2 linked regions of the Macaca fascicularis genome follow. The protein of the gene in region 1 purifies or fractionates together with the protein of each later gene. This does not show direct contact. Links are inferred from orthologs where the notes say so. Each region holds a gene or a part of one and is shown on either strand. Other genes may lie near its edges. The genes, in order: DNAJA2 and PLD2.

What was found.
Region 2: the proteins of DNAJA2 (region 1) and PLD2 purify together in Homo sapiens (affinity purification with mass spectrometry; 3 studies listed by BioGRID and IntAct, with this or other methods). This does not show direct contact. The link is inferred for Macaca fascicularis from reciprocal best matches to the Homo sapiens genes DNAJA2 and PLD2.

The regions. Positions count from the first base shown.
Region 1 is NC_088394.1:42,889,515-42,904,211, reverse strand, and holds the start of DNAJA2 (dnaJ homolog subfamily A member 2), read left to right. Parts: upstream 1-2,838; 5' UTR 2,839-2,938; coding exon 2,939-3,016; intron 3,017-4,556; coding exon 4,557-4,616; intron 4,617-4,932; coding exon 4,933-5,156; intron 5,157-8,635; coding exon 8,636-8,716; intron 8,717-9,171; coding exon 9,172-9,305; intron 9,306-12,013; coding exon 12,014-12,210; intron 12,211-14,697. UniProt on the Homo sapiens protein: Co-chaperone of Hsc70. Stimulates ATP hydrolysis and the folding of unfolded proteins mediated by HSPA1A/B (in vitro).
Region 2 is NC_088390.1:4,903,703-4,919,168, forward strand, and holds the start of PLD2 (phospholipase D2), read left to right. Parts: upstream 1-5,656; 5' UTR 5,657-5,713; coding exon 5,714-5,865; intron 5,866-6,014; exon of another isoform or gene 6,015-6,360; intron 6,361-6,651; coding exon 6,652-6,761; intron 6,762-6,862; coding exon 6,863-6,993; intron 6,994-7,153; coding exon 7,154-7,296; exon of another isoform or gene 7,297-7,416; intron 7,417-7,978; coding exon 7,979-8,084; intron 8,085-8,175; coding exon 8,176-8,241; intron 8,242-8,372; coding exon 8,373-8,431; intron 8,432-8,570; coding exon 8,571-8,663; intron 8,664-8,756; coding exon 8,757-8,909; intron 8,910-9,689; coding exon 9,690-9,839; intron 9,840-13,041; coding exon 13,042-13,125; intron 13,126-13,267; coding exon 13,268-13,346; intron 13,347-14,111; coding exon 14,112-14,222; intron 14,223-14,398; coding exon 14,399-14,569; intron 14,570-15,167; exon of another isoform or gene 15,168-15,245; coding exon 15,246-15,372; intron 15,373-15,466. Other genes in the region: C16H17orf114 (uncharacterized protein C17orf114 homolog), read right to left, coding at 782-948, 7,204-7,246.

The sequences.
Region 1 (14,697 bases):
TTATGCTGACTACAATTAATACGCAGAAGTGGAGAAAATATTGCAAAGAAATGAAAATGAAATTCAAAAATAGTTACTGTGGTTACTGGTCTAGTCAGGTAAAAAAATAATAATAATAATAATAACAAGAACAAAAGAGGGAATTTACCCAGCTACTCTTCATTACAATATCAGAAGCTAAAATGGCATCAAGAGAGAATTTTTTCCCCTTGGAAAAAAAAAAAAAAAACTGAGTAAAACTGAAACAAATAGGAAACTCCAGCCCTTTTAAACTGTTCACGGGCAGAAGGCTAATAAGATAAAACAATATGAAATAAAAAAGATAAATTAATATGAAGGTTGCAATAAAGACAGATTTTCAGTTCATATTCTCACGTGGAGCAGGAACTAACAGAGAAATGAGACTGACAAGCAAGGAGATCTGGGAAGACGAGGTCATGAAAAGGGACAGACGGGCGTTTCCCATAGGTAATGGAGGAAGTCAGGGAATCCCAGTAGAAAAGCCAGAAATTTAAATGAGTAAAGACAATGTAAGCAAATAGGCCAAAAACAATAGTTAATACTTAATTTGTTTTAGCTTCTAAGTAATTTTTAAAATTTTAGTTATTTATTATTTTGAGACAGGGTTGCACTCTGTCACCCAGGTTGGAGTGCAGTAGTATGATCTTGGCTCACTGCAACCTCCACCTCCTGGGCTCAGGGGATTCTCCCACCTCAGCCTCCCGAGTAGCTGGGACTACAGGGGTGTGCAACCACCCCCAGCTAATTTTTGTATTTTTAGTAGAGAGGTGGTCTTGCCACGTTGGCCAGGCTGGTCTCAAACTCCTGACCTCAAGTGATCCATCCACCTCAGCCTCCCAAAGTTCTGGGATTACAGACCACAGCGCCCAGCCCTAAGTAACAGAAATGTATTAACTCTTTTAAACCAATGATATAAAAAATAATAAGCCCCATCTTACACCTGAGGAAACCACCTCAGAAAAGTTAACTTGTTGAAGGTCACATTGTTCCTAAATGACAGAGTCAGACTACCAACCGACACAATCTAACTTCGCCACAACTTTACACCTTTTCTTATGAACATCTCAAAATGTGAAAAGTAGAGAATTGGATTTCACAGCCATGCATGAGGAGGATGTCAGCATTTACACGGCAATCGTGGTTGGCAGAGGCAGTGGCTCAGGCCTGCAATTCCAGCACTTTGGGAGGCCAAGATGGCTGGTTCATTTGAGATCAGGAGTTCGAGACCAGCCTGGTCAACATGGTGAAACTCCACCTCTACCAAAAATACAAAAATTAGCCAGGCATGGTGATGGGCGCTTGTAATCCCAGCTACTCGAGACGCTAAGGTGGGAGAATCACTTGAACCCGAGAGGTGGAGGTTGCAGTGAGCTGAGATCGCGCCACTGCACTCCAGCCTGAGGGACAGAACGACACTGTCTCAAAAAAAAAAAAAAGAGTTCGGGATCCTACCACATTGTTGCACATTTTTTGTACCACAAAAGGTACAAACGAAGGGTGGTGGGAACTCGAATGAGACAGCAGTGTTCACCAGTGTCCAGTCAAGGAAGACTTCACAGAGGGAGCAGGATTTCAGATGGGATTTGAGGAAAAGGGTTTAAGGACTATCAATGACTTATCACTGATTACTCTTAGGGTTTTCGGGCTAAATTTCAGAGACCTTGTCATGGCATTCAGGCCCTCCACAACTAGGTCAAGGGGAACGCCAAGGAAGAAACATTATCCTGAGTAAGATGCTTATACTGAAGTCTTTGCTATCAGTTCAGGTTCCAAGGGATCATAAAATCTTACTTTTCTGTCTCCGTAAACCGTAAATGGGTTGAAGGCAGGCACTTTTGTAACACTCCTCTCTCCGGACCAGGCCTCTGTACATCATAGCACGTGGTAGATGCACAGCATTCACTTTCTGAGCGAAACTAAAACGAATGTAAATCAAGTCACCTGGTGGCCAGAGTTGCCTTACACCATCTAAACCTCTGGTATTAGCTAATTTTAAAGCTATCAAGAGGCTTAAACACGTGGTCCAGAAGCAACACGTGGACCTTGGTTTGGACTGGAATGCCACAAACCAATTGTAAAAGGCCATGCGATCATTTGAAAAACCTAAATATAGACTGGGAATTAGATTAAGGAATTGTTAATTTCATTAGATGAGATTACGTCGTCATGCTTTTAAAAGTTGTCTTAAATATATACACTCAGGGTATTTATGAATGAAACGGTTTCCCTGAAAACACCAGAGATGTATAGGGGAGCGAATGAAACAAAATTGGTAAAATGTAGCTAACTGCACTACGGGGTGTAATAGACTGCTTTTGTTGAATGTTTCATTATTCCCATAACATAAAACACAACATACACACACACACGCTCCCCAGTTTTTTTCATCGTAAGCCCCGAGGGAGCCAGACCCAGAGGGTCCACCGACGTCCTGGATTCTGAGAACGATTTCTGCGCGCCAGGCTGGCCTCCTGCAGGAGCCGGGGCCCACTTCCTTTCCCGACCGACTCGAAGCTAACGAAGCTGCCGCGTAGGCCTGTTAATCCCCTCAGTACCCAGTGCGAGGTTAAACACGCGACGTCGCAACCATGGCCTTTGAGAGGAAGCTGAATTCCTGGGGTGCGCCGTGTAGAGTTCATTTCCTACGTCGGCCCAGCACAGCAGCCTGGACCCAGAGGAGATCAGAGAACCAGCCACACTCTTCACCACCCCGACCCAGTGGCCGCGCCTCGGGCGCTCGGGGGCGGGCTCCGCACTGCGACGTCACGGCGCACCGTGCGCCCGGTCAAAGTTCAGCCCCGCCCCCGCTTCCCCCTCGCTGTCTCCCTCGGCCTGATCCGCTGCCGACGCCGCTTGTGGGCCCGGCTCCTCTGTCTGCTCCGCCACCTTCTTCCTGAGCACTGCCCGGCCGGCCGCCATGGCTAACGTGGCTGACACGAAGCTGTACGACATCCTGGGCGTCCCGCCCGGCGCCAGCGAGAACGAGCTGAAGAAGGTATCCGGGAGCGGGCCGGGCGGGCGGGTGTGAGGGGCGCGGGGCCTGCGCGGCCGGGGATGTCTTCTTCAGCCAGGCCGCGCTACTGGGCGGCCCGCGAGCCGGCGCCGGCCGTGACGGGCCCGGGCTGGGGATCGGCGGCGGCAGCGGCGGGACCGGCCTCGCGGCGAGCCGCGCCCTCCGGCCTCGGCTGACCTTGGGCCGCCGGCCCCGCCCGCCCGCAGATGCAGCAAATAAAACTCACTCCTGCGCAAACACGACGGTAGCCCTTCCTCCCTCCTCGGGCGAGCGCCGGTGGCCGGTCTCCCCCAGGAGGCAGCAGCTCGCCCGGCTCTCCGCGTCGAGGTCACCACCCCGGAAAAACAGGTTGGACCGAGGTGCTCAGCGCATCCCGGCCCCGGGAGAGAAGCTGTCCACCCCGCGGCCGTCGGCCCCGGGTCTGGTGCTCCGCGGGGAAAAACGGCGGGGAGGTCCGGCGGGGAGGTCGAGGCCGCCCCCACAGAGCGCCTCGGGCAGATGGGGTTGTTTCCTGGGATCCCCGGCTGCGGGCTGCGGGAGCTCCTCCCTCTCTTCCTCCCTCGCCCATTGACCCGGAGGTAGCGTGGGTCTGTGTTTGGATGCATTGTTCTGTGGTCAGGTAATGCTAATGTCCTGTACCTGCTTAGGAATAAGCCGTGGTCCCAGCCAAACGCCTGAGTGTGCAATAAACATGAATAGAAGGCCTTATTATCGCTGTTTGCAATGCTGCGATATCTTTCATCTCAGGATTTCAAAGCACACGAGGCGTTTAAGCCCCACAGCATCCTCACCGGGCTAAGAGCATCCGGATTTGTAAGCCGAGAAAAATGAGAATGCTCCTTAGGCAGTGAGAAGAGTGCAGTGGACTTCCTGTTACCTTACCGGAAATGCTAGTCTGTATTATATAATTCACGAGCCTCCGTAAATGAAGATTTAAGTGCTGTATGACCCAAACACCTCGTTGAGAGTGTGCAACTTCACTACCACCGAAGTTGCCACCACGACCCCAGTTAACCACCACGTGCAAATAAAACACCTAAAGACACTACCTGGGACCACCTTGACTTTTTCATGATGTTACAGTTAGAAGGAAGGCCTGAGCCATCGGGAGCAGGAATTGTGACTTTAGCTTGATTTATAGTAATGTTTTGCAGTCCGTAAAGCTTGACAGTCATTTATCTCAAATTTATTAGAGTGGTCTTGGTCTGGTTACTTGGCCATCAGACACTTGACGATAGGGAAAATATGGATAATGTTTGAACGTTTTCCCTATGGTATTGCTTCATTGTTTTATCTGGTTTTCACGTCACTGTAATTATTTTCAAGTATAGCTACAGTCTACTTGGTTATATTACATTAGTAAACAGTATCGTGAGGAAGTGCCAAAGAATACGAATAGAAAATATTTTTGGAAGGTTATAACTCTAGAACATTACTTTTCAGAAAAGTGGATGTTAAGTTATTACAAAACTTTAAACTGGTGTTTAGTTATAACCTTCTTTGTTTTTGTCCATTTTCAAAGGCATACAGAAAGTTAGCCAAGGAATATCATCCTGATAAGAATCCAAATGCAGGAGACAAAGTAAGTTATTTGCGATTTTTTTATTCCGGGGGTTTTAGTTTTAACTTAAATTGCCCTCCTTGAAAAAAAGGAATGTTGCAGGAAAAAAATCCAACTATGCCCACACAGCCACATTTTCATAATGTCAAAGAGTATTTTAGTTTTAGAATAAGAGTACTACCATTCTGAGGAGTGGTGGGTGGTAAATAGAAGCAGAATCAAGTCAAAGGTAACTTGTCCCTTTTATTAGAATTAAATGGATTCTGGATTCCTATAGCCTCTCCCCACTCTTCTATTTGAAAATGTAATTATTTTTATTTTTACCTTTTCTTTATAGTTTAAAGAAATAAGTTTTGCATATGAAGTACTATCAAATCCTGAGAAGCGTGAGTTATATGACAGATACGGAGAGCAAGGTCTTCGGGAAGGCAGCGGCGGAGGTGGTGGCATGGATGATATTTTCTCTCACATTTTTGGTGGGGGATTGTTCGGCTTCATGGGCAATCAGAGTCGAAGTCGAAATGGCAGAAGAAGAGGAGAGGACATGATGCATCCACTCAAGTGAATATCTTGTTTTGTTGTGTTAAAAAATTAGGTACTTTTTGTCAAGTGGAATATTGACTCAGTAGAAGAAAAAAAACTCATAGAATGTTCTGTCCTTCATTAGAAAAACTTCCATGTGCCTTGTCTTCTTTTGGTGACTAAATAGAATTTGATTATCTGACTGTTTCTATTTTGCTGTAGCTCTTAAAAGGATGGTAGATATTTTTTAATGAGAGGAAGGTGGTTTTATATGGTTCTGAGGCTGCTTGTTATTATAGGACTTAAAATTTCAAGTGTAAAGATCGTTTTCTTTTTTCTTTTCTTTCTTTTTTTGAGACTGAGTTTCGCTTTTGTTGCCCATGCTGGAGTGCAATGGCACAATCTCAGCTCACTGCAACCTCCGCCTCCTGGGTTCAAGCGATTCTCCTGTCTTCAGCCTCCCGAGTAGCTGGAATTACAGATGTGGCACCATGCCCAGCTAATTTTGTATTTTTAGTAGAGGTGGGGTTTCTCCATGTTGGTCATGCTGGTCTCGAACTCCCAACCTCAGGTAATCTGCCTGCCTCGGCCTCCCAAAGTGCTGGGATTAGAGGCGTGAGCCACCATGCCTGATCTTTTTTTTTTTTGAAATGGAGTCTGACTCTGTCACCCAGGTTGGAGTGCAGTGTCACCATCTAGGCTCACTGCAACCTCCGCCTTTCAAGTTCAAGCAATTCTCCTGCCTCAGCCTCCCAAGTAGTTGGGATTACAGGCACCTGCCACCATGCGGGGCTAATTTTTGTATTTTTTTAGTAGAGACAGGGTTTTGCCATGTTGGCCAGGCTGGTCTTGAATTCCTGAGCTCAGGTGATCAGGGATTACAGGCATAAGCCACTGCACCCAGCCTATTTTCTTTGAAGTATATGAATCTTCCAAGTTACCTTTTATTTAAAAACTAAAAATGAGTGACTGTCTGCCTACTTTGTGTACATGTTAGAGTCACTCATTACTTGATCCTCAGTGTGAACTCTCTTAAGTTGGTTTCCATGGAGCTTGCTGGCTTCCAGCCTGACATTAACCTGCCAGCACATGAATGGTGCCTGACCTTGATCTTAGACTGTGAATCCACAAGCCCTCTCCAGTATATGAAATTAGCTATTTCACTTTGCAAAATCTGGGAGGTCTTTTTTCCCATTCTTTTTTTCGATAAATTATTTTATTAGCAAATGTCAGTGGCTGAAGTTCAGATACTTAAAATATTTCATAATATCCTAGTTTATACACTTGAGTAAATTAGAGGAAGTCATGTTATCTGTTAACTTGAGTCTCATTGAATCCTTAAATTTGTTTTTTAAAAGAATTTGCCCTCAGAAATTAACATTTGAATACCATTCCAATGGTAATATTTGTGCAGTGCAGGTTAATTCGTTTATATTTTTCTTTAATATAGAAATGATCTAAAAAGAAAATAGGATCAAAAGAGTGCTGTCTGTACTTTATAGTTCTTCATGTTTAAAGAAATGTTATGCTATATAGTAAAACAGTTTTCTGTTGTTTTAACATTTCAAATTTTCCTGTTATTACAAATACTGTGTTTATAATACTGCATTCCATGATTTAATCATTTACCTTTTATATAAGGTATTGCCAGGTTTTTTTTTTCTGTAATAGATAGTGCTGCTATGAGTATCTTTATGTAAAGCTTTGTTTCTCCTTGGCAGAGATTCCCAGGCAGGCATGAGTGTTTTGAGGCTGATAAATACAACTAAATTGCCTTGCACAGAGGGATTGTGCCAGTTTAGGCCCCACTAGTGGAGAGTGCCAGCCCTGCCAAACCATTACCTTCATTTTTCTTTCCTTGGCCTTCTTTGTTGAAATGTGTCTTTTTTTCTGGCTTAGGGTACTGGTTGTGCATATCAATTGTAATTTAATATGTAGGGGGAAAAAGCCGATTTTTAAAAAATGATTTGTTACAGAGAGTATAGAAGATGCAACAAGCTTTTTTGTCTAAGACTCAGCTGTAGATAGGTCATTATTTGACGGTGTTGTTGGTAATGTTTTGTCCTTACATGTGGAATTTTTATCCTGTCTACAACAGTTTTAAGTTTCTGAGAATAGGCCGGGCGCGGTGGCTCAAGCCTGTAATCCCAGCACTTTGGGAGGCCGAGACGGGTGGATCACAAGGTCAGGAGATCGAGACCATCCTGGCTAACACGGTGAAACCCCGTCTCTACTAAAAAATACAAAAACTAGCCGGGCGAGGTGGCGGACGCCTGTAGTCCCAGCTACTCGGGAGGCTGAGGCAGGAGAATGGCGTGAACCCGGGAGGCGGAGCTTGCAGTGAGCTGAGATCCGGCCACTGCACTCCAGTCTGGGCGACACAGGGAGACTGTCTCAACAAAAAAAAAAAAAAAAAAAATAGTTTCTGAGAATAACAATTTTGAGAAAGTTTGAATATCACAAAATAGTGTAGGTGCTTTGTAAAATACTTTTAACTATTTTTTTGTTCCTGTAACTCCCAGGATTTTAAAGCAGATCATTACAGGATGACCATTCCTAATCTGAAATCTGAAATGCTCCAAAATATGAAACTTTTTGAGCACCATCATGATGCCACAAGTAGAAAACTCCACACATAAGTACTTGTCTCACTCTGTCCCCCAGGCTGGAGTGCAGTGGTGCGATCTCAGCTCACTGCAGCCTCAATCTCCAGGGCTTAAGCAATTCCCTGCCTCAGCTTCCTGGGTAGCTGGGACTTCAGACATGCCACTATTCCTGGCTAATTATTTTTTATTTTTTGGTAAAGATGAGGTCTCTCTAAGTTGCTCAGGCTGGTCTTGAACTGCTAGGCTCAAGCAATCCTTCCTCATTCTCCCGAAGTGCTGGGATTATAGGCATGAGCCACTGCACCTGGCATGAAAAACGATTCTTTCCCTCCTTTCTGTCATACTATTGGTAGGGCCACTTTTATTTTTTTTTTTAAGACATATGCCATCTAAGTGACTCACTTAAGCTGAAATACAACTTTGTAGCCTTTCTAAATTGTCCATGGAGCAAACAGGGACTCTGGAGCCAGACACCTATGTGATCTTGGGCAAGTTACTTGACTGTTCTGTGCCTCAGTTTTATCACATAAAATGGGAATAATAATCGTACCTCTTCTGAAGTGTTTTTCTTAGGAGTTGGGTGGAGGGCTTATGCCTCAGAACAGAAGGTTGTGATGTTTGAGTTTGTGAAGTCATCAGCTTTATCAGAAATTCCACCACAGCAAATTGTTGACCTGATGCTATGGGCTCTGACTTTGAGTATCGCATATATACTGTCTGTAGTCATAAAATATTTCTGTTAATTTCAGCCATAAAATAAACCTCAGTTGAATGATTTAATGTGAGATTATGAGGTGTTTTTGAATTCTGTTTTAAAAGTTGATAATGAATTTGCTGTATCAGCTGTTATTTATATCTTGTATTTGAGCAAATGTGGCAAAATTTGATTGAAGCTGATTATTTTCTTTCCAGAGTATCATTAGAAGATCTGTATAATGGCAAGACAACCAAACTCCAACTTAGCAAGAATGTACTCTGTAGTGCATGCAGTGGGTAAGTGTGTCCTCTGGTTTGTTGGGTACATTTTGTCTGTTCTTTAAGTGTCACACTGATTGTCTGTACCAGGTAAAAATTGTTATGAGTTAAAACTTACAGCCGGGTGCAGTGGCTCACACCTATAATCCCAGCACTTTGGGAGGCCGAGGTGGGTGGATCACCTAAGGCGGAAGAATCACTTGAACCCGGGAGGTGGAGGTTGCAGTGAATCAAGATTGCGCCACTGCGCTCCAGCCTGGGTGACAGAGTGAGACTCCATCTCAATCAATAAATAAATAAATCTTGGGAGAACGTTTTCTGATACTTCTGAAAGTCAATTTAAACACAAGTTATTGTGTTTAAATACAAGTTATTGGGGTTGAAGTTAAGGTAAAAGTACAGTTTCTGTGTGTCATAGCTTATTGGAGTGGTCTGTGGACAAAAACCTAATGCATAACTTGTGTTTGCTTTAGCCAAGGTGGAAAGTCTGGAGCTGTCCAGAAGTGTAGTGCTTGTCGAGGTCGGGGTGTGCGCATCATGATCAGACAGCTGGCTCCAGGAATGGTACAACAGATGCAGTCTGTATGCTCTGATTGTAATGGAGAAGGTATGTGTGCCAGTACTTCTCTGCTTTTATGTTGAAATGGATTGAGAATGCAGATATTGGAGAGGTTTACAATTTTTTATTTCAAAGGGTATTTGTTTACATCTTATTAAAGAAAAAGGAGGCCGGATGCGTTAGCTTATTCCCATAATTCCAGCACTTTGGGAGACAGAGGTGGATTGCTTGAGCCCAGGAGTTCGAGGCCAGCTTGGGCAACATAGGGAGACCTCATTACTATAGGAAAAAAAGTGTAGAAAAATATGTAATCAGGGGCTCAGGGCATGTCTGTGGTCCCAGCTGCCTGGGAGGCTGAGGCGGGAGGATTGCTTGAGCCCGGGAGTTCAAGGGAGCAGTGAGCCGTGATCATGTCAGTGCACTCCAGCCGGGGCGACAGAACAAGACCCTGTTGCAAAAATAAAAGCGTGAAAGTAATTACTCCATTATGCCTAAGCCCAGTGAACGTAGAGAAACAGTAGATGTGTATTGTGTTAGTGAAAGGTGACTCCTTAATTCTGAAAAGAGGGGCAAGGTGATTATTTGTTCCTTTGCTATTTCCTTCTTTATCAAATATAACCTTTTATATACTGTCTCTGTAGAAATGACCACCATGGGAGGACTATCTCCTTTCTCAAGTAGAACCTTTTAAACTACAAAGGGACAAATAAATAATAAATAACTAAACAAGTAATTGTTTAGTTACTCTGATAAGTAGAAGATTTTACTGTAACCTTTAGTTAGCTTTAAAGAATTGATTTTGAGATTGAAACTGTCCTCACAGAAGTAAATAATTTAGTCTTTGTGGGCCAAATAGTTTTTGTTACAACTACACACCTCTGACTTTTAGTGCTTTTATAGCCACAGACAAATGGGTATGGCTGTGTTCTGATTAAAATTTTAATTATAAAAACAAGTAGCTCCTCCCACCCCTGCCATTCTAGAGCAGTGCTATCCAATAGAATTTTTTTCTGTGGTGATGGAAATGTTCTGTATCTGCAGTGTTCAGTACAGTAGCCATTAATCACCTGTGACTACTGCATACTTCACATGTGGCTAGTGTGACTGGGGAACGATTTTAAATTTGAATTAATTTAAACATAAACTTAAGTAGCTACAGGTAGATAGTGGCTACCACATTAGACAGTATAGTTCAAGAGCATCCTTTTCCACATTGCTATTGGAAGTGATGAGATAATTATGAGAAGCTACATATGATGTTTGCTTCCTGGATAATCTTGGCATTTTACTTTATTTTTTAAAATTATTATTATTTTTGGAGATAGGGTGTTGCTGGAGTTCTGTGGCGCATTCTCGGCTCACTGCAGCTTCCACCACCCACGCTCAAGCAATCCTCCCACCTCAGCCCCTCACCCCACAATTAGCTGAGACCACAGGTGCTTGCCACCACGCCCAGCTAATTTTTGTATTTCTTGTAGAGACTGGGTTTTGCCATGTTGCCCAGGCTGGTCTCGAACTCCTGGATTCAAGCAATCCTCCTGCCCCAGCGTCCCAAAGGGCTGGGATTACAGGTGTTAGCCACCACTCTTGGCCTGCTTTTATTTTATTAAAATTGCTAACTCCCACTATCAAGAAACCAAAGTTAACGGAAATCTTTTCTCATGTACCATTACTTTTTTTTTTTCTTTTTTTTTTTTTTTTTTAAATGTGAGACAGAGTCTTGCTCTGTTGCCTAGGCTAGAGTGCAGTTGCGCGATCTCAGCTCACCGCAGCCTGTGCCTCCTGGCTCAAGTGATTCTGCTGCCTCAGCCTCCTGAGTAGCTGGGATTACAGGCGCCCGCCATGACACCCGGCTGATTTTTGTATTTTCAGTGGAGACGGGGTTTTGCCATGTTGGCCAGGCTGGTCTCAAACTCCTGACCTCAGGTGATCCTCCTACCTTGGCCTCCCAAAGGGCTGGGATTACAGGCGTGAGCCACCATGCCCCGCCACCATTACCATTTTGAAGAACTGGTGTTTCGCAGAACATACTTTGCAAAAGTACTGTTACAGAAACAGCCCCTAAATAATCAGTTATACACATCTTTCTAAGCCTCCAAATGTGCCAGTAATTAGCCATTAGAAAGTGACGCAATTTTTTCACACTATACTATGTATAATCACAGTTTTGCTTTTTTATACCATAATTAAATATTTCAGAAGAATATATAGAAGAGAAAAGCCGTGTTGCCCTAAACATGGTATGGATACATTACATTCTGAAATAGTGGGAAGCTGAGTCCTTCAGGCAATCTGCAGTAGTAAGATGTTAAGTTTTTGTTATTCAGAATAATGCTTTTTTTTGTTTTGTTTTGAGACATGGCCTCACACTGTTACCCAAACTGGGGTGCAGTGGCATGAGTATAACTCACTGCAGCCTCGACCTCCAGCAGTCCTCCCTCCTCAGCCTTCCGAGTAGCCAGGATTACAGGTGTGCACTACCATGCCGGCTAACTTTTTTTATTTGTAGTAGAAGCAAGGTCTCACTGTATTGCTAGGCTGGTCTCAGATCCTGAGCTCAAGTGATCCTACCACCTTGACCTCGCAAAATATTGGGATTGCAGGCTTGAGCCACTATGCTTGGCCTCAGAATGCTGCTTTGAATAAAAATTTAGGTAGCTATTTAAAAAAATTCAGAAAGTATATTTAAAGGATAAGAGTATTAAAGAGTACAGTATAGTACTCTTGCTGAAAGTTTCAATGACTTCTTTTTCCAGGAGAGGTAATTAATGAAAAAGACCGCTGTAAAAAATGTGAAGGGAAGAAGGTGATTAAAGAAGTGAAGATTCTTGAAGTCCACGTAGACAAAGGCATGAAACATGGACAGAGAATTACATTCACTGGGGAAGCAGACCAGGCCCCAGGAGTGGAACCTGGAGACATTGTTCTTTTGCTACAGGAGAAAGAACATGAGGTGATTTTCCTTTTTTTAGTTTTTTGTGTTTTGTTTTATTCAGAAGTACTTCTTGTTTGTGAGAAATAGGTTAGATCTGTTTGGAGTCCCTGGAGCAACACTGCACACTGGAGAAGTTAAGGGAATCATGGCAAATTCCTAAAGACAGGCTTGTGTAAGAAAGACTAACAAGGCAGGTGCCATTAGAAGCACTATAAGAGTCAGTTTTAGTCCTGGCTTGGTTTTTTTCCCCCCCCGCCCAAGATGGAGTTTCACTGTTGTTGCCCAGGCTGGAGTGCAGTGGCGTGATCTCGGCTCACTGCAACCTCTGCCTCCCGGGTTCAAGCGATTCTCCTGCCTCAGGCTCCTGAGTAGCTGAGAATGCAGGCGCGCACTACCACTCCTGGCTAATTTTTATTTTTAGTAGAGACGGGCTTTCTCCATGTTGGTCAGGCTGGTCTTGAGCTCCCGACCTCAGGTGGTGCGCCTGCCTCAGCCTCCCAAAGTGCTGGGATTAACAGCGGGAGCCACTGCACCCAGCGTTGGTCTTTTTTTTTTTTGACGGAGTTTTTTTGACTGCACCCAGGCTGGAGTGCAGTGGCGCAATCTTGGCTCACTGCAACTTCCGCCTCCCAAGTTCAAGCGATTCTCCTCTAGCTTGGTCGTTGACTAGCACTTTAACCGTAGGTAGTCTTACTGTCTCAGTTTCTTTGTTTATGAAAATAAGGGCACTGGGCGTTGGACCAGTTGGTCTAAGGCAGCCTGTTTTTTCACTGTGAAACTCTGCTGCTCTGTTGATTTGGTTTTTACTTATTGGGTAGCCAAGTGAGCTATCCTTGAAAGAGTTCTAGGATTTAAAAAAAACAAAACAAAACAAAACATTTTTTTTAGAAGTTTCTGAAGAATGTGGTCACTAGTGTATGTTTTGGGGTTTTTTTGTTTTTGAGATGGTCTTGCTCTGTTGCCGAAGCTGGAGTACAGTGGCGTGATCTGGGATCACGGCAACCTTTGCCCCTGGGCCCAAGCAATCCTCCTATCTCAGCCTCCCAAGTAGCTGGGACAACTGACGCACCATCATGCCCATCTGGTTTTTTGGGGTTTTTTGTTTTGTTTTGTTTTGTTTTTGTATTTTTAGTAGAGACGGGGTCTTGCCATATTGCCCAGGCTGGTCTTGAACTCCTGAGCTCAAGCAGTCCTCCTGTCTCGACCTCCCAAAGTGCTGGGATTACAGGTATGAGCCACCATGCCCAGCCTAGTGTATGTTATTTTGATTTTAGCATTGCACTTGTATATTTTTAATGTCCATATTATATACTGTAGACCTTACTCATAAAGAATATATCTGGAGCTATTCATGAAAAACCCTTCCAGTAATCACGTAAATTCTTGAATGTTAGAAGCACTTGGTAGGACTCTAGCTTTGTACTTGATCACATTTACTCATGCTTTCCTCTGAAAGTCATTACATCACAGGTTAACTACCTTTTTAGTTTGCCCTAAAATTTTCTCCTGTGCATAAGTCCAGTCAACACAGAGAAATGGTAAATTTGTATTATGTTCAGTGAAAGGTTATTCTTTTTAATTCTAAAAAGGTGGGCAAGCTGATTATCTGTTTGTAATTTAAAGGTTATATATTTAATAAAGAAGGAGATCGTCCTTCTGTGGTGGTCATTTCTTCAAATAGAGTAAATGTTAAAAATCACTTTAAGAATCCAATAGAGCCATATTGAGCCATATTGAGCCATATTGAGATCCAGGTTTTAGGAATTTGGTTGTAATCCCTCACAAGGTCAGACTTGATCTCCTGGACAATCAGGGCGTGCTAGTCAGCTTTCATGACTCAGCAAAGCTACAAATTATGTATTTTGGCTTTTTGTGGAAATTGCCAACCCTGCAAATAGCAAACGTCTCCTAGGTTGTCAAAAAATAAGAGTAGTTTTTAGAATTCTGCCTTTGGGTCTTATAGGATGAAATATTTACAAGATTTGCCATTTGTTAACATTTTAGCTACTTCCTTGTTCATTCAGTCTTGCTGCTGTGCACAGCACCATACCAGGAATATGAGGGAGAAAGCTAGCAAGACAGCTAAATAATTGGGAATTCTGCTTGGATGTAGGTTAGACTGTGTTGTAAAATGGTACAGACAATGCCTAGGCATTTTCATTGATAGAATCCTTGGAGTAGTTTGGGGTTCATTGTCAAATGATGTCTGGCAGGTGCAGCAGCACAGTAGTGAGGAAGTGAAGAAGGAATGCTTATTTGCAGAAGAAAGATGATTTTTTTGGTTTGAGGCATGTCAAACTGATGGTAAAACCTTTTTTTATTCCTAAGTTTAGTTTTTAATGTTGCTGCATAATAAATTGGGTTTTTTAAAAGTAGATCATTGGATTTCGAGGCAAAGGACTTAAGGTCTGGGCCCCATTTACTAGCTTTGGCTTCCCTGGACTTTTCAGATATTAAAGAGTCAAATGAGATTATGAATAAGCTTCTTTCTTAGGGCCTGTGGGG
Region 2 (15,466 bases), on another chromosome or scaffold:
GGCAGCCTCCCTCACTGTCAACATTCTGCACCAGAGATGGCCATTTGTTGGAACTAGTAAACCTACGCTGACACATCGCTCCCCGATTTCCACGTGGCTACTCATCATTCAGCTCTCAGCTCAAATGTCACCTCATCAGGAAGGCATTTCCCGACCACCTGAAACTGGAGAAACACCACCCCCTAGTCCCACTCTCACATGACCCTGTTTCACTTTCTTCACAGCAGCACATATCACTGTCTTGGGTTCACTTAGTTGTTTACCTGTGTATGATTGTCTCCCTACCTCTACTAGAAAGTCAGCTCAGTGAGAAGACAGAATTCTTTCTTTCTGGTTCATTGATATCTCCTCCATGCCTGGCAGGGGTAGATACTCGGCATTTTACTGAATGAATATGCTTTCTCATCCCATCTGCCATCCTGCCCAGCCCCCAGCCACCCCAGACTGTCTTCAGCACACTCAACTCTGAAGCTTGATGTCAGCCAATTCTTACTTTCCCACTTGTCACACCTGGGCTCTGCATGAGATGAGCTGCCTCATATTCATCATTCCTGTGTCTCACTCCACCATAGGCAACACTTCCCATCTCAGCCCCATAACCCAGCCCTGCAGCCTTGGCCCCATCTACTTCCCCTGCACACACACACACAGCACTTAGCAACTACGAACATATTTAATGAGAAGGTTAGAAAGGACTTGGGGAGGTGGACATTAGGATCGCTGAGAAGTCTGGGGAAGGAAGCTTGCTAAGCCTTCCTGGAGGTTCAGCTCCTTGTCCCCTTCAAATGGTGGAGTCATTGGCCGATGCTATGTCATGCAGCTGGTGGCGGAAGGAGAGTCGGGCTTTCCTGCTGAAGTAGGCACCAGGCCCTGGCGAGGGTACCCCTCCCTCAGCCATGATGGGGGCTATAGCTGGACTGGGATCTGGAGGGGCAGCAGGACTCAGGCCTAAAAGATGGGAGAGGAAAGAAGGAAGTTGTAGGTCAGGGTTCACCTCCTCCCTCGCCCCCAACCCAGGGTTGAGGAGGGAAGCAGGGAAGACACCTGGGGCCTGGGGACCAGTGAGGAGCGTGGGTGACAGCAGCAGGGAGAGGGAGAGGGACTGTTGCAGAGCAAGCAGAGCTGGCTCACACGCATGTGACCTGTGCAATTGCATAGGATCCCCAGACTCAAAAGGGCCACCGTGCTTGGCATAGGGTTCTGCTATCACCATCTTGAAATTCTTAATTTTTTTTTTTTTTGAGACAGAGTCTCACTCTGTTGCCAGGCTGAAGTGCAATGGCACTATCTCGGCTCACTGCAACCTCCGCCTCCCGGGTTCAAGCAATTCTCCTGCCTCAGCCTCCTGAGTAGCTGGACTACAGGCGCCCGCCACCACGCCCGGCTAATTTTTTGTATTTTTAGTAGAGATGGGGTTTCACCGTGTTAGCCAGGATGGTCTCCATCTCCTGACCTCGTGATCCGCCAACCTCGGGCTCCCAAAGTGCTGGGATTACAGGAGTGAGCCACTGCGCCCAGCCGAAATTCTTAAATTGTTAATGAGGGGCCCCTCTTAGGCATTTCGAACTGGGCCCCACAAAGTATTTAGCCAGTCCTGTGAGGACTTTGGTGACCCACCTCCCACCCAGGGAGACAAATGTGCCTTTTCCTTTTGGTGGTTTGAGCATTTCTCTCTCTCCCTGCGATGCAGTTGTCTGTCTGACTGCCTGACAGCCCCACTTTACCCTCAGTCTACCCCATACCTGCTCCTCTTTCAGTCCCCCGCTGTCTCCGGCACCCGCACCATGGGAAACACCATGCCCCCTTCAGACCCATCTCAACAGTGGAGGCAACTGGAGTGGGGAATGGCCAGGAGGGCTCCCGGGAGAGGGGTGTGGTTTCCGAGCCCCCCCACCATGGGCAAAACTACCACTTAGCTTCAGACCGCCTGGTGATTATAGGCGCCAGGGATGGAATGGGGAGAGGAGGGGGGAAGAAAGGGCTGGGGTATACTCCCATTCAGACACCTATTTTTATGCCCCATTAATTTGGGGGTCCTTTCTGATCCCCATGGAGAAGCAGGAGGTGGTTGGGAGAGGTAGCACGGCAGGGACAGATGCAGAGGTGCCGTGACAGATACAGTAAAATTTCACTATAGCAATGCCCGACAACTTGGCACCAGGCTGGACACGGCTGGGGATTCGTTTGTATTTTAGAATGAGACTTGGAGTGCCCAAGATGTAGACTTTAAAGAATACTCTATTTTTTTAGACTAAGAAACTTTATTATCCAGGGAAATGTTAGATTCTCATTAAATGGTCTGATGGTTCCTGTCCCCTGTTATGAAGATGGTTATAATTGATTAATGATGCTGTGTCAGGTAAATGCTAGGAACTTTTACATGTTATCTCATTTCACTTAATCATGTCAAAGATCTTTTTTTTTTTGAGATAGAGTCTCACTCTGTCGCCCAGGCTGGAGTTCAGTGGCGCGATCTTGGCTCACTGTAACTCCGCCTCCCGGGTTGAAGCAATTCTCCTACCTCAGCCTCCGGAATAGCTGGGACTACAGGTGTGCACCCCCATGCCTGGCTAATTTTTTTGTATTTTTAGTAGAGACGGGGTTTCACCACGTTAGCCAGGCTGGTCTCAAACTCCTGACCTCAGGCAATCCGCCTGCCTCTTCCTCCCAAAGTGCTGGGATTACAGGCGTGAGCCACCACACCCAGCCTCAAAGATCTTTTGAGGTAAGTCCCTTGCTGGTAAGTCTATCCTGGTTTTACAGATGAGGAAAAGGAGGCACTGAGAGGCAAGGTAATTTGCCCAAGGTCACACAGGCAGGCAGTACAGAGTAGGAACCATGCCCACCTCACAACCCTCACCTTGAGTCAGTCTGACCCCAAAATCTACTCTTTTTTTTTTCGAGATGGAGTCTTGCTCTGTTGTCCAGGCTGGATTACAGTGGTGCAGTCTTGTCTCACTGCAACCTCTGCCTCCAGGGCTCGAGTGATTCTCCTGCCTCAGCCTCCCAATTAGCTGGGATTACAGGCACCCGCCACCATCCCCAGTCATATTTTGTATTTTTAGTAGAGATGGGCTTTCACCATGTTGTCTAGACTAGTTTCGGACTCCTGACCTCAAGTGATCCGCCCACCTCAGCCTCCCAAAGTGCTGGGATTACAGGCGTCAGCCACCACACCCAGCCAGAATCTACTCTTTTAACCAGTACACTGAGCTTCTGAAGCATGTCCCCAAGCATCGATGCCCTCAGCCAGTTTGGGGTGGCCAGAGCCGAGGCTCTGGTCCTCTAGTCAGAGACCCTCTAGTCAAGAGCATCCTAGCCAAGGACTCTAAGTGCCCGTAAGTAAAGCTGTACAGGGGCTGTTTCATCATTCCGTGAAGGTACCACAATGTGGGAAACGTGAGGTTGCTGATGACACATACTGCCCGAGTTACACAGTCTTTTTTTTTTTTTTTTTTTTTTGAGACGGAGTCTCACTCCGTCACCCGGCCGGAGTATAGTGGCACTATCCCAGCTCACTGCAACCTCCGACTCCCTGGTTCAAACAATTCTCCTGCCTCAGCCTCCCAAGTAGCACGCGTCACCATGCTCAGCTAATTTTTTGTAATTTTAGTAGAGATGGGGTTTCACCACGTTGGCCAAGATGGTCTCGATCTCCTGACCTCGTGATCCACCCACCTCGGCCTCCCAAAGTATCGGGATTACAGGCGTGAGCCACCACGCCCGGCCTTGTTTTTCTTTCAATGAACTTTATTGAAGCAAAAATGTACATACAATTTAATGCACACATCTTAACGTACAGTTCCATGAGTATTAACAAGTGTATGCTCCCATGCAATCACCACTCCTATCAAAATATAGGGCATTCTCATCATCCTGGAATGTTCCCTCACGTGTCCCTTTACAGGCAATCTTTTCCTTACACCCTGCCACAGGCAACTACTGATCTGATTTCCATCACTATAGATTGTTTTTGCCTTAAATTTAGAAGTTTATGACCAGGCGTGGTGGCTCACGCCTGTAATCCCAGCACTTTGGGAGGCCAAGGAGGGTGGATCATCTGAGGTCAGGAGTTCCAGACCAGCCTGGCCAACATTGTGAAACCCCATCTCTACTAAAAATACAAAAATTTAGCTAGGCGTGGTGGCCGGTGGCTGTAATCCCAGCTACTCAAGAGGCTGAGGCAGGAGAATTGCTGGAACCTGGGAGGCGCAGGTTGCAGTGAGCCGAGATCCCGCCATTGCACTCCAGCCTGGGCAACAAGAGCAAAACTCCCTCTCAAAAAAAAAAAAAAAAGAAAAGAAAAAATTAGCAAAAGGCCGGGGATGGTGGCTCCCGCCTGTAATCACAGCACTTTGGGAGGCCAAGGAGGGCAGATCACTTGAGGTCTGGAGTTTGAGACCAGCCTGGCCAACATGGTGAAACCTGTCTCTACTAAAAATACAAAAATTAGCAGGAAAGCCCTTGAACCCAGAAGGGGGAGGTTGCAGTGAGCCGAGATCGTGCCACTGCTCTACAGCATGGACAACAAGAGTGAGACTCCGTCTCAAAAAAAATAAATAAATAAATATTAGCAAAAGACTGAATAGGCACTTTATAAAAGAATGCATACAGCCGGGCGCGGTGGCTCAAGCCTGTAATCCCAGCACTTTGGGAGGCCGAGATGGGCGGATCACGAGGTCAGGAGATCGAGACCATCCTGGCTAACACGGTGAAACCCCGTCTCTACTAAAAAATACAAAAAATTAGCCGGGCGAGGTGGCGGGCGCCTGTAGTCCCAGCTACTCTGGAGGCTGAGGCCGGAGAATGGCGTGAACCCGGGAGGCGGAGCTTGCAGTGAGCTGAGATCCGGCCACTGCACTCCAGCCTGGGCTACAGAGCGAGACTCCATCTCAAAAAAAAAAAAAAAAAAAAAAAAAAGAATGCATACAAATGGCCAATCAGCACATGAAACATGGTCAATATCATTGATCTCCAGATAAATGCAAATCAAATTGCAATGGTGTGCCTATGACATCCATTCAATGGCCAACGCTAAAGATTTAGAATATCAAATGTTGGCTATGCCATAGAATAACTGGAACCACCATACACTGATTTTGGAAATCTAGACTGTAACAACCATTTCAAAAAAAATCGTGTGATAGTTTCTTATAAGTTAAACATACACTTACATGATCCAACAACTCCACTCGCTAGTTACCCAAGATAAAGGAAAACTATCCACACAAAGACAGGGATGTTTACACGAGCTAAAACAACGGGCAAAACTGGAAACACACATGTCTATCAAAAGAAGAGAAAAATAAATCTGCTTTTTAAAAAAGATTGAAATCTCTTGTATTTTAATACCCGAAAAAAATTTTATTTCCCCCCTAGACTGTCAATTCCAGCTGAGCAGGCTCCGTAACCATCTTATTTACTACCATACGCTCAGTGTCTGGCAAGGAGTAAGCGCGCAATACATGTTTGGTGAATGAATGAAAGAATGCCCGCTTTCTTACACTAATGGGTTTGTAGCCACCACCCCTCGGGCCTTTTACGCCCTCATTCCTTCCAGGTACAAACGCTATCTGGGCTAGGTCGAACGTGGCTCGCAGCGAGTCTGGGAGAGGGGCACCCACCGGCAGCTCCCGCAGCGGAGGCGCGTGTCCCCGGGGGCCGAGGCAGCGCCCGCGGCTGGAGGGGCCCGGGGCGGGAGCCAAGCGGAAGGATGCGCGCAGCGCGGGGTGCCCCGGCGGGCGGGCACGCTGGGACCGACGGCGCGGAAAGCCCCGACGCTTTGCAGCACTTGCCGGTCTCACCGAGAGAGCTGCGCGGCCCCGCGGCCCTGCAGAGCACAGTGCAGCCCCCGGGCTCCCGGTGGTGCGCGGGGCGGCGGGGCGGCGGGGCGGCGGGGCGGGCCGAGGGCGGCGGGGGCGGGACAGGACAGACGAGAATCCCGCGGAGGTGAGGCCGGGGGCCGTCCCGCCCCCGAGGGCAGGCCCTGAGCCCCAGCCCCGCCCCGGCCTGCTGGGGCGTGGGCTCCGGCTGCGGCTCCGGCTCCGCTCTGCTCGCTTGGCTCGGGAACCCGCGCGGGCGCTGGCTCCGTCTGCCAGGGTGAGGCGGCCGGGAAGGGGCGCGCGGGGGTCCCCGGTCCCGGGAATCGGGCGGGGACGGAAAGGGCTCGGGCTGCGGAGCCTCCAGACTCAGTCGCACGCTCAGATTTCGGGGTTTCTCCCCTCGGCGGGGATCGCGTAACTTCCTCATTCCTGCCTGGACCCCTGCCCCCGGCCCTCCTGGCCTGGCGTAAGCCCCGTAGCCCCGCGCTCTCCCGACCACCCGGGGCCGCTTCCCCGCGCAGCTGCTGTGCCGCCCCAGGTCGGAGCCTTCCGGGCCTGGCTGGGTGTTCCCCGGGTCTCTGGTTACGGGACGGGGCGGGGGTCGGGGAGCGGGACTGGGACTGGGATTGTGGATGAAGGACTAAGATAGCGGATGGGGGCTCGAAGGGGTCGGTGGGGCGTTGCAAACTGGTCGGTCGTCATCAGCGGGCGGTCAGGAGTCTGTGGGGGAAGAGGAGGACCTGGAAGAGATGGAGGACCTGCAGGAGTTAGGATGGGGGGCGGGTGCTGCAGGGCAACTCGCCTCCCTGAGGATTCCCTATATTCCTAGGATGATGGCGACCCCTGAGAGCCTCTTCCCCACTGGGGACGAACTGGACTCCAGCCAGCTCCAGATGGAGTCCGATGAGGTGGACACTCTGAGGGAGGGAGAGGACCCAGGTACACAGGGAATATGGATGGCCCTCGGGGAGGAGAGGCGTGGGGAGCCAGGGGGCTGGGGCCTGTGGGGGTCTACACTCCTCGACTTTCTTTCTTCCCAGCCGACCGGATGCACCCGTTTCTGGCCATCTATGAGCTTCAGCCTCTGAAAGTGCACCCCTTGGTGTTCGCACCTGGGGTCCCTGTCACAGCCCAGGTGGTGGGCACCGAAAGATACACCAGCGGATCCAAGGTGGCCAGACTGGCCCCAGGGAGGGGGAAAGGGAGGGCGGCCTGGAATGGATCCAAGGTGGCTGGGCTGGCCCCAGGGAAGAGGGAAAGGGAGAGCTGGCCAGAGTGGGGAGGCGGGGACTCAACACGGGGGTCATCCATTCAGTTCCTCACACCCCTAGGTAGGAACCTGCACTCTGTATTCTGTCCGCTTGACTCACGGCGACTTTACCTGGACAACCAAGAAGAAGTTCCGTCATTTTCAGGAGCTGCATCGGGACCTCCTGAGACACAAAGTCTTGATGAGTCTGCTCCCTCTGGCTCGGTGAGGGGAATCAGACTGAGTCCTGTAGAGGGCAGGTGCCCCCCACCCTCCTTTCTGCCTGTCTCACCCCCAGGCCACAATCTTTCCTCCCTGCAACTCTGGCCACTGGGCCCCTCCCCTGACCCCAGTTACCAGGAAACTTTCCCTGCTCAGCTTTCCCTGTCCATGGTTCTGTGCCAGCATCTCAGCTGGGCGGGATGCCCAAAATACTCTTGGCAGCCTCACCCTTTTCTAGTCTCCATTCCCAGGGTAGGGGGCCTTCCTTTTGCCAGACTCTAGGACTTTTGCTTGGTTTTTGTTTTTGTTTTGGACAAGGTCTCCCTCTGTCACCCAGGCTAGAGTGCACTGGTATGATCTTGGCTCATGTCAACCTCCTGGGCTCAAGCAACCCTCCTACTTCAGCCTCCCGAGTAGCTGGGACCACAGCCACCACACCCAACTAATTTTTGTATATTTTGTAGAGATGGGGTGCTGTTGTGTTGCCCAGGCTGGTCTTAAATTCCTGAGCTCAAGTGATCCACCTGCTGCAGCCTCCCCAAGTGCCGGGATTCCAGGCATGAGCCACCACACCTGGCCACCTCCAGGCCTCTTCTTTTCCTCCAAGCCCCATCTCCAGTGTTTTCAGGAACCAGAGCACCCAGCCTCCCAGCTCTTACCTGAACCTCATCCATCCTTTCCACAGTTTTGCCGTTGCCTATTCTCCAGCCCAAGATGCAGCCAACAGAGAGATGCCCTCTCTACCCCGGGCAGGTCCTGAGGGCTCTACCAGACATGCAGCCAGCAAACAGGTGGGACCAGATGCCAGGTCCTCTGGGAAGGCATTGGATGTGCAAATGACTCTGGTCCCATCTGTCTTTTTCTCTCTCATCTCCACTTTAGAAATACCTGGAGAATTACCTCAACCGCCTCTTGACCATGTCTTTCTATCGCAACTACCATGCCTTGGTAAGGTCCAGGAGCTGATTTTAGATGTGGAGCAGGATCATCAGACCCTCAGGGGGAGGAGGGCCAGGGGCCCCAGGGTCTGAGGAGCTGAAAGCCAGGTATCTCCTCTGGCCTTTTGTTTTCCTCTGCAGACAGAATTCCTGGAAGTCAGTCAGCTGTCCTTTATCCCAGACCTGGGCTGCAAAGGGCTGTGAGTGTCTGGCCCCCTTCACCCAGGCATCTGTAGACATCCCTCTTAATTTCTCCCTGCCTGAGAATGGGGCAAGCAGTGCAGGGTGGGCTGGGGGTCTGGAGTCCTCATCCAGCCTCTCTTCCTGATTGCCCCACAGGGAGGGGACGATCCGGAAGCGCTCAGGTGGCCACCGCGTTCCTGGCCTCACCTGCTGTGGCCGAGACCAAGTTTGTTATCGCTGGTCCAAGAGGTAAGGGCTATGGCCCAGCAGCTGGGCAGTGGGTGGGGGTGAGGAATAAAATTTCGAGGGCAGAGAGGAACACAGGGAGCCCTTCTGCTCTAGGTGGCTGGTGGTGAAGGACTCCTTCCTGCTGTACATGTGCCTCGAGACGGGTGCCATCTCATTTGTTCAGCTCTTTGACCCCGGCTTTGAGGTGCAGGTGGGGAAAAGGAGCACGGAGGCACGGTACGGAGTGCGGATCGACACCTCCCACAGGTGAGGCCTCCCTGGGGTGAGAGACACCGGCTGAGTGGTGAGCCAGCCTGCAGCCCTGCTGGGGGTTGAGTAAGAGAGACCACAGTAGAGAGGAAGGCTGTTCCACCTCCCGGGATCCGGACATAGTTTTGAACCAGGGAACTGGTCTAGCCAGATGCTTGGGACTGCTCTTAGAGACTGGGCCCAGAGAAAGGGGATTAGTAGAAGCCCAGGAAAGGAACTGCTGACATAAAGGAAATTCCATTTGTTCATTTGTTCATTCAACAAACCTGAGTGCCTGGTACAATACTGGTTGCTGATACAATACTAGGCTCCAACTGTGAGTAAGGTGGATACGGCCAGGCATGGTTTCTCATGCCTGTAATCCCAGCACTTCGGGAGGCCGAGGCGGGCGGATCACCTGAGGTCAGGAGTTCGAGATCAGCCTGACCAACATGGTAAAACCCTGTCTCTACTAAAAATGCAAAAATTAGCCAGGCGTGGTGGTGCTGGCCTGTAATCCCAGCTATTGGGGAGCCTGAGGCAGGAGAATCGCTTGAAGCCAGGGTGCAGAGGTTGCAGTAAGCAGAGATCGCACCACTGCATTCCAACCTGGGGGACAAGAGCTAAACTCTGTCTCAAAAATAAATAAACAAATAAGGCAGATACATACACGCCCTGTCTCTGTGGAGTTGTGATTAGGGACCAAGGGAGGAAGTGAGAAAGAAAGGGGAGGTCTCTGGGCAAGATCATATGTATGGAGGGCGAGGATTTATGGTCCATCTCATCGTTCCCATCCAGGTCCTTGATTCTCAAGTGCAGCAGCTACCGGCAGGCACGGTGGTGGGCCCAAGAGATCACTGAGCTGGCACGGGGCCCAGGCAGAGACTTCCTACACCTGCACCAGCATGACAGCTACGCCCCATCCCGGCCTGGGACCTTGGCCCGGTGGTGAGACACTGACATCCCTTCTGTGGCCTTCTTGACCCCCTGTCTCTGAGTCCTTCACCCTCTCTTTTATCTCCTCTGAACCCTTCTGACCTCAGCGATCCACCCTGTGACTTCCTTAATCTTCTTTTTTTTTTTTTTTTTTTTTTTTGAGACGGAGTCTCGCTCTGTTGCCCAGTCTGGAGTGCAATGGCCGGATCTCAGCTCACTGCAAGCCCCGCCTCCCGGGTTCACGCCATTCTCCTGCCTCAGCCTCCCGAGTAGCTGGGAGTACAGGCGCCCGCCACCTCGCCCGGCTAGTTTTTTTTGTATTTTAGTAGAGACGGGGTTTCACCGTGTTAGCCAGGATGGTCTCGATCTCCTGAACTCGTGATCCGCCCGTCTCGGCCTCCCAAAGTGCTGGGATTACAGGCTTGAGCCACCGCGCCCGGCCCTTAATCTTCTTGATCTTTGATATCTTTAACCACATTGATCTCTCTGATTTCGCTCTGACCTTTCTGACCCTCAGACTTGGTCATCTCTTCTGACCCTTGACGTCTGTAACCTCCTGTAACTTTTTAAACCCCCCTGTACCATACTGACCCTCTCTGTTCTCTATGATCTTCTCAAATCTGATTTAGTCCTTCATTTAACAAACATTTTCCTTTTTTTTTTTTTTTTTTTTTTTTTTGAGAGTTTTGCTCTATTGATCTCAGCTCACCGCGCCCGGCTATAAACTTCTTTTTTTTTTTTTGAGACGGAGTGTCGCTCTGTCGCCCGGGCTGGAGTGCAGTGGCCAGATCTCAGCTCACTGCAAGCTCCGCCTCCCGGGTTCACGCCATTCTTCTGCCTCAGCCTCCCAAGTAGCTGGGACTACAGGCGCCCGCCAACTCACCCGGCTAGTTTTTTGTATTTTTTAGTAGAGACGGGGTTTCACCGTGTTAGCCAGGCTGGTCTCGAGCTCCTGACCTTGTGATCCACCTGCCTTGGCCTCCCAAAGTGCTGGGATTACAGGCGTGAGCCGCCGCGCCCGGCTATAAACTTCTAAAACAGCCAAAACCGATCCACAGCGATGGAAATCAGATCAGCAGTTGCCTGTGGCAGGGTACGGGGCAAAGATTGTCTGGGCAATCAAACGGGGCACACGAGGGAACATTCCAGGACGATGAAAATGTCCTATATTTTGATAGGACTGGTGATTGCATGGGAACAGCGTACACTTGCTGATCCTCATGCAACTATACGAGATAAAGAAAATGCAGAACAGTCCAGGCAGAGAAGACAGAAATAGCTCAGGGCGTTTGGGAACCACCAGGACATATTGTTGTTACTGAGTGAGGAGGAGCAGTCAGAGGAGAGGCTGGGAGTCAGTGGCAGCTGATCTCACAGGCTCCCGTGTGCTAATATCACAGGCACAGGGCAGTCATGGACGGAGGTTGTTTTTGTTTGTTTGGTTGGGTTTTTTTTTTTTTTTTTTGAGACGGAGTCTCGCTCTGTCGCCCAGGCTGGAGTGCAGTGGCCGGATCTCAGCTCACTGCAAGCTCCGCCTCCCGGGTTCACGCCGTTCTCCTGCCTCAGCCTCCCGAGTAGCTGGGACTACAGGTGCCCGTCACAGCGCCTGGCTAGTTTTTTGTATTTTTTAGTAGAGACAGGGTTTCACCGTGTTAGCCAGGATGGTCTCGATCTCCTGACCTCGTGATCCGCCCGTCTCGGCCTCCCAAAGTGCTGGGATTACAGGCTTGAGCCACCGCGCCCGGCCTTTTTTTTTTTTTTTTTTTGAGATGGAGTCTGGCTCTGTCGCCCAGGCTGGAGTGCAGTGGCATGATACCGGCTTACTGCAGTCTCTGCCCCCCGGGTTCAAGCGATTCTCCTGCCTCCAGCCTCCTGAATAGCTGGGATTACGGGCATGCACCACCATGCTCAGTTAATTTTCGTATTTTTAGTACAGATGGGATTTCACCATGTTGGCCAGGCTGGTCATGAACTCCTGACCTTAAGTGATCCACCCGCTTTGGCCTCCCAAAGTGCTGGGATTACAGGCATGAGCCACCTCGCCTGGCCTTCCTACATATTTTCACATGTGCAGGCATGTGTTACTTTTGTTTCAACATAAATGAGATCATGCACCCTCTTCTGTGACTTATTTTTTCACTTAATACATGTGTGAGAGATTAGATACTTAGATTATTTCCCATTTTTCATTCTTACACACAATGCGATGAACATGATCTTTGCCTAAGCATTGTGTAGGTTGTATTCCTAGATGTAAAATTACTGTGCATATTTAATGATATTAAAGGCTATGTGCATTTAATATTTTGATAACTGCTGGCCAGTCGCTGTGGCTCATGCCTGTAATCCCAGCACTTTGGGAGGCCGAGGCGGGTAGATCACTGGGGTCAGGAGTTCAAGACCAGCCTGGCCAACATGGCAAAAACCGTCTCTACTAAAAATACAAAAATCAGCCAGGCATGGTGGCGGGTACCTGTAATTTCAGTTACTTGGGAGGCTGAGACAGGAAAATTACTTGAACCCAAGAGGCGGAGGTTGCAGTGAGCCAAGATCGTGCCATTGCACTCCAGCCTGGGTGACAGAACCGGACACCATCTCAAAAAAGCTATATATATATATTTTTTTTTTTCTTTTTTGATACTGCCAAATTGTCTCCTAAAAGTTATATTCCCGTAGTCTATGAGAATACCCACTTCCCCAGCATACTGAATATTCCCCAGCATATTGAATAACATTCTGATATGCTAATATGCTGATATTGAATGTTACTAATGATTTTAATTATTACCCATCTAATGGATATTTTCAATGTAATTTCATTTTAACTTCTTCGTTTACTAGTGAAACAGAACATCATTTGCCACAACTGGCCATTTTAATTTCTCTGTGAACTGTCAGTTCTTACGATTTGCTCATTTTTCCGTTGGCTCATGTGACTTTTTCTTGTCGACTTATTGGTGTTCTTTATGTATGATGTAGTAATCCCCCCATTCTTTAGTTGATTAGGTTATTGTGTCTTTTTGTAATTTTTATTTGTATTTAGCGTATATGGGCAAACACTATTTTGATATGTCTGATACCGCTTGTGCTCTCTGATCATTCCTGATCTTTGACCTTGCTGTCACCTCTGACCCATGACTGTCCTCCGGTCTTCACTCTCCAGAGCTTTCTGGCTTCTGACTCCCCTGACCTCCTTGGCTTGGCCTCCCCCCAGGTTTGTGAATGGGGCAGGTTACTTTGCTGCTGTGGCAGATGCCATCCTTCGAGCTCAAGAGGAGATTTTCATCACAGACTGGTGGTGAGTGGGAAAGGCCCCAATAAGATGGGGCAGGATAGAGCCTGGGGCAGGTCAGCGTGTTCCTCGGAGGAAGGGGGAGAAGGGGGGTACGGCTGGTAGTCTGGGGCTTTGTTTGCCCCTAATCCACTGCCCTGAATCCCAGGTTGAGTCCTGAGGTTTACCTGAAGCGTCCGGCCCATTCAGATGACTGGAGACTGGACATTATGCTCAAGAGGAAGGCGGTGAGGACAGCCGTCGGGCTGCAGGGGGAGGGGGTTGCCTATGGGTGGAGGTTCATTAGCAGGGCTGCAGCGTGGGAGAAGATAGGGAGTCTGAGGCTTCAGGGGAGGGAAATGTGCCCATCCTGGCCCAGCGCCTGTCAGACATCACCTCCGCCCTCTCCCTTTGCCCTAAGGAGAACTGACACCTTCCTCTTCATGCTCCCTCCACCTGGCAGAGACTTCCCTCCCAGTAAACATAATACTTTATTGTGTTATCTGGGGGTGTACATGTCTATCTCTTTCACTGGACTAGTTAATATCATTGTTCCACTACAAGGCACAGTACCTGCCATGGAGGGGCATGTGTGGTGTTGATGGACTGGAAGAAGGATGCATGGATGTTGCAGGGTGGGTGGGCAGGTGGATGGATAGAGGACAGAAAGGGTGATAGATGGAAGGATATGAGTTGGAAAGGTGGAGGGCTAGGAGGGTAGGCGGGTAGATGGATGAATGATAGACAGTAGATAAAGGGATGAGTAAATGCTTGGGAAGATAGATGGATGGATGATATGTGGGTAGGTGGATAGATATGTGGATGGGTGAGTGGGTGAGCACACAGATGACATTTAGTCTAAGTCTGCTGCAAGCAGCAAAGCAGGGCATATGTGGCAGAGCCTCTAGGATCTCCAGACAGGCTGGAGGGACCCACGTAGAAAGGGTTTGGGAGTGTGGAAAGGGGCAACTCTGGGAGAGGCACTGGGATCTAATTCCCCAACTCACCACCAGGAGGAGGGTGTCCGCGTGTCCATTCTGCTGTTTAAGGAAGTGGAATTGGCCTTGGGCATCAACAGTGGCTATAGCAAGAGGGCACTGATGCTGCTGCACCCAAACATAAAGGTGACTCTGGGCCTCAGAGACCCTCCCCCATGACAGCCCTCCTCCCCACACTGTCCCCGCCCCCAGTGCTCCTGCTTCCTGACGGTCTCATCTTTCCATCTTTCCTCTCTCCCTCCCAGTACCTCCTGTTTTCCTTCACCTAAACCCACCTCATGAACCCTCCATGCCTGCTCCAGGTGATGCGTCACCCAGACCAAGTGACGCTGTGGGCCCATCATGAGAAGCTCCTGGTGGTGGACCAAGTGGTAGCATTCCTGGGGGGACTGGACCTTGCCTATGGCCGCTGGGATGACCTGCACTACCGACTGACTGACCTTGGAGACTCCTCTGAATCAGCTGCCTCCCAGGTAATCCCCCTGAGGCCTTCCTAAGCACCCCCAAACTCAGATAAGCTCAATCCACACCTTTTCCCGACTCCAGCCTTACCCCCTCAATCATTCCAGGCCCTGCCCACCTCAGGGTTCCTCAAACTTTCTGGGACCCCAAGAACCCACTTTGAAAGTGCTGTAACCGGCCAGGTGCCGTGGCTCATGCCTGTAATCCCAGCACTTTGGGAGGCTGAGGCAGGCAGATCACCTGAGGTCTGAAGTTTGAGACCAGCCTGACCAACATGGTGAAACCCCGTGTCTACTAAAAATACAAAAAAATTAGCCTGGCATGGTGGCGGGTGCCTATCATCTGAGCTACTCGGGAGGCTGAGGCAGGAGAATCGCTTGAACCCAGGAGGCGGAGGTTGTAGTGAGCCAACATCGTGCCACTGCACTCCAGCCTGGGTGACAAGAGCAAGACTCCGTCTCAAAAAAGAAAGGGCTGTAACCCAGTCCTTTCCCCATTTCACTGACCATCACCCCATTCCTCTAAAAGTGTCAAAGTCGGCTGGAGGGGAGGGCTGGGGAATCAGACCCTCTGTTTCATTCTTCCTCTCCGTCTCTCTCACTCTTTCAGTGCTCCTCTCTTTGGCCCTGGCTCTGTACAGCCCCATGACCTCCCCTTGCCCCTGGCTTGGGTGTGTTCCCCCTACAGCCTCCCACCCCGTGCCCAGACTCGCCGGCCACCCCAGACCTCTCTCACAACCAATTCTTCTGGCTGGGCAAGGACTACAGCAATCTTATCACCAAGGACTGGGTGCAGCTCGACCGGCCTTTCGAAGGTGAAGCCTCCCACCCGCCAAAACCCCAGAGAGCTGAGAGCAGGGTCAGAAGCTGGGACTGGTACTGAGGATGGGATGAGAGGGGTCAAGGGTG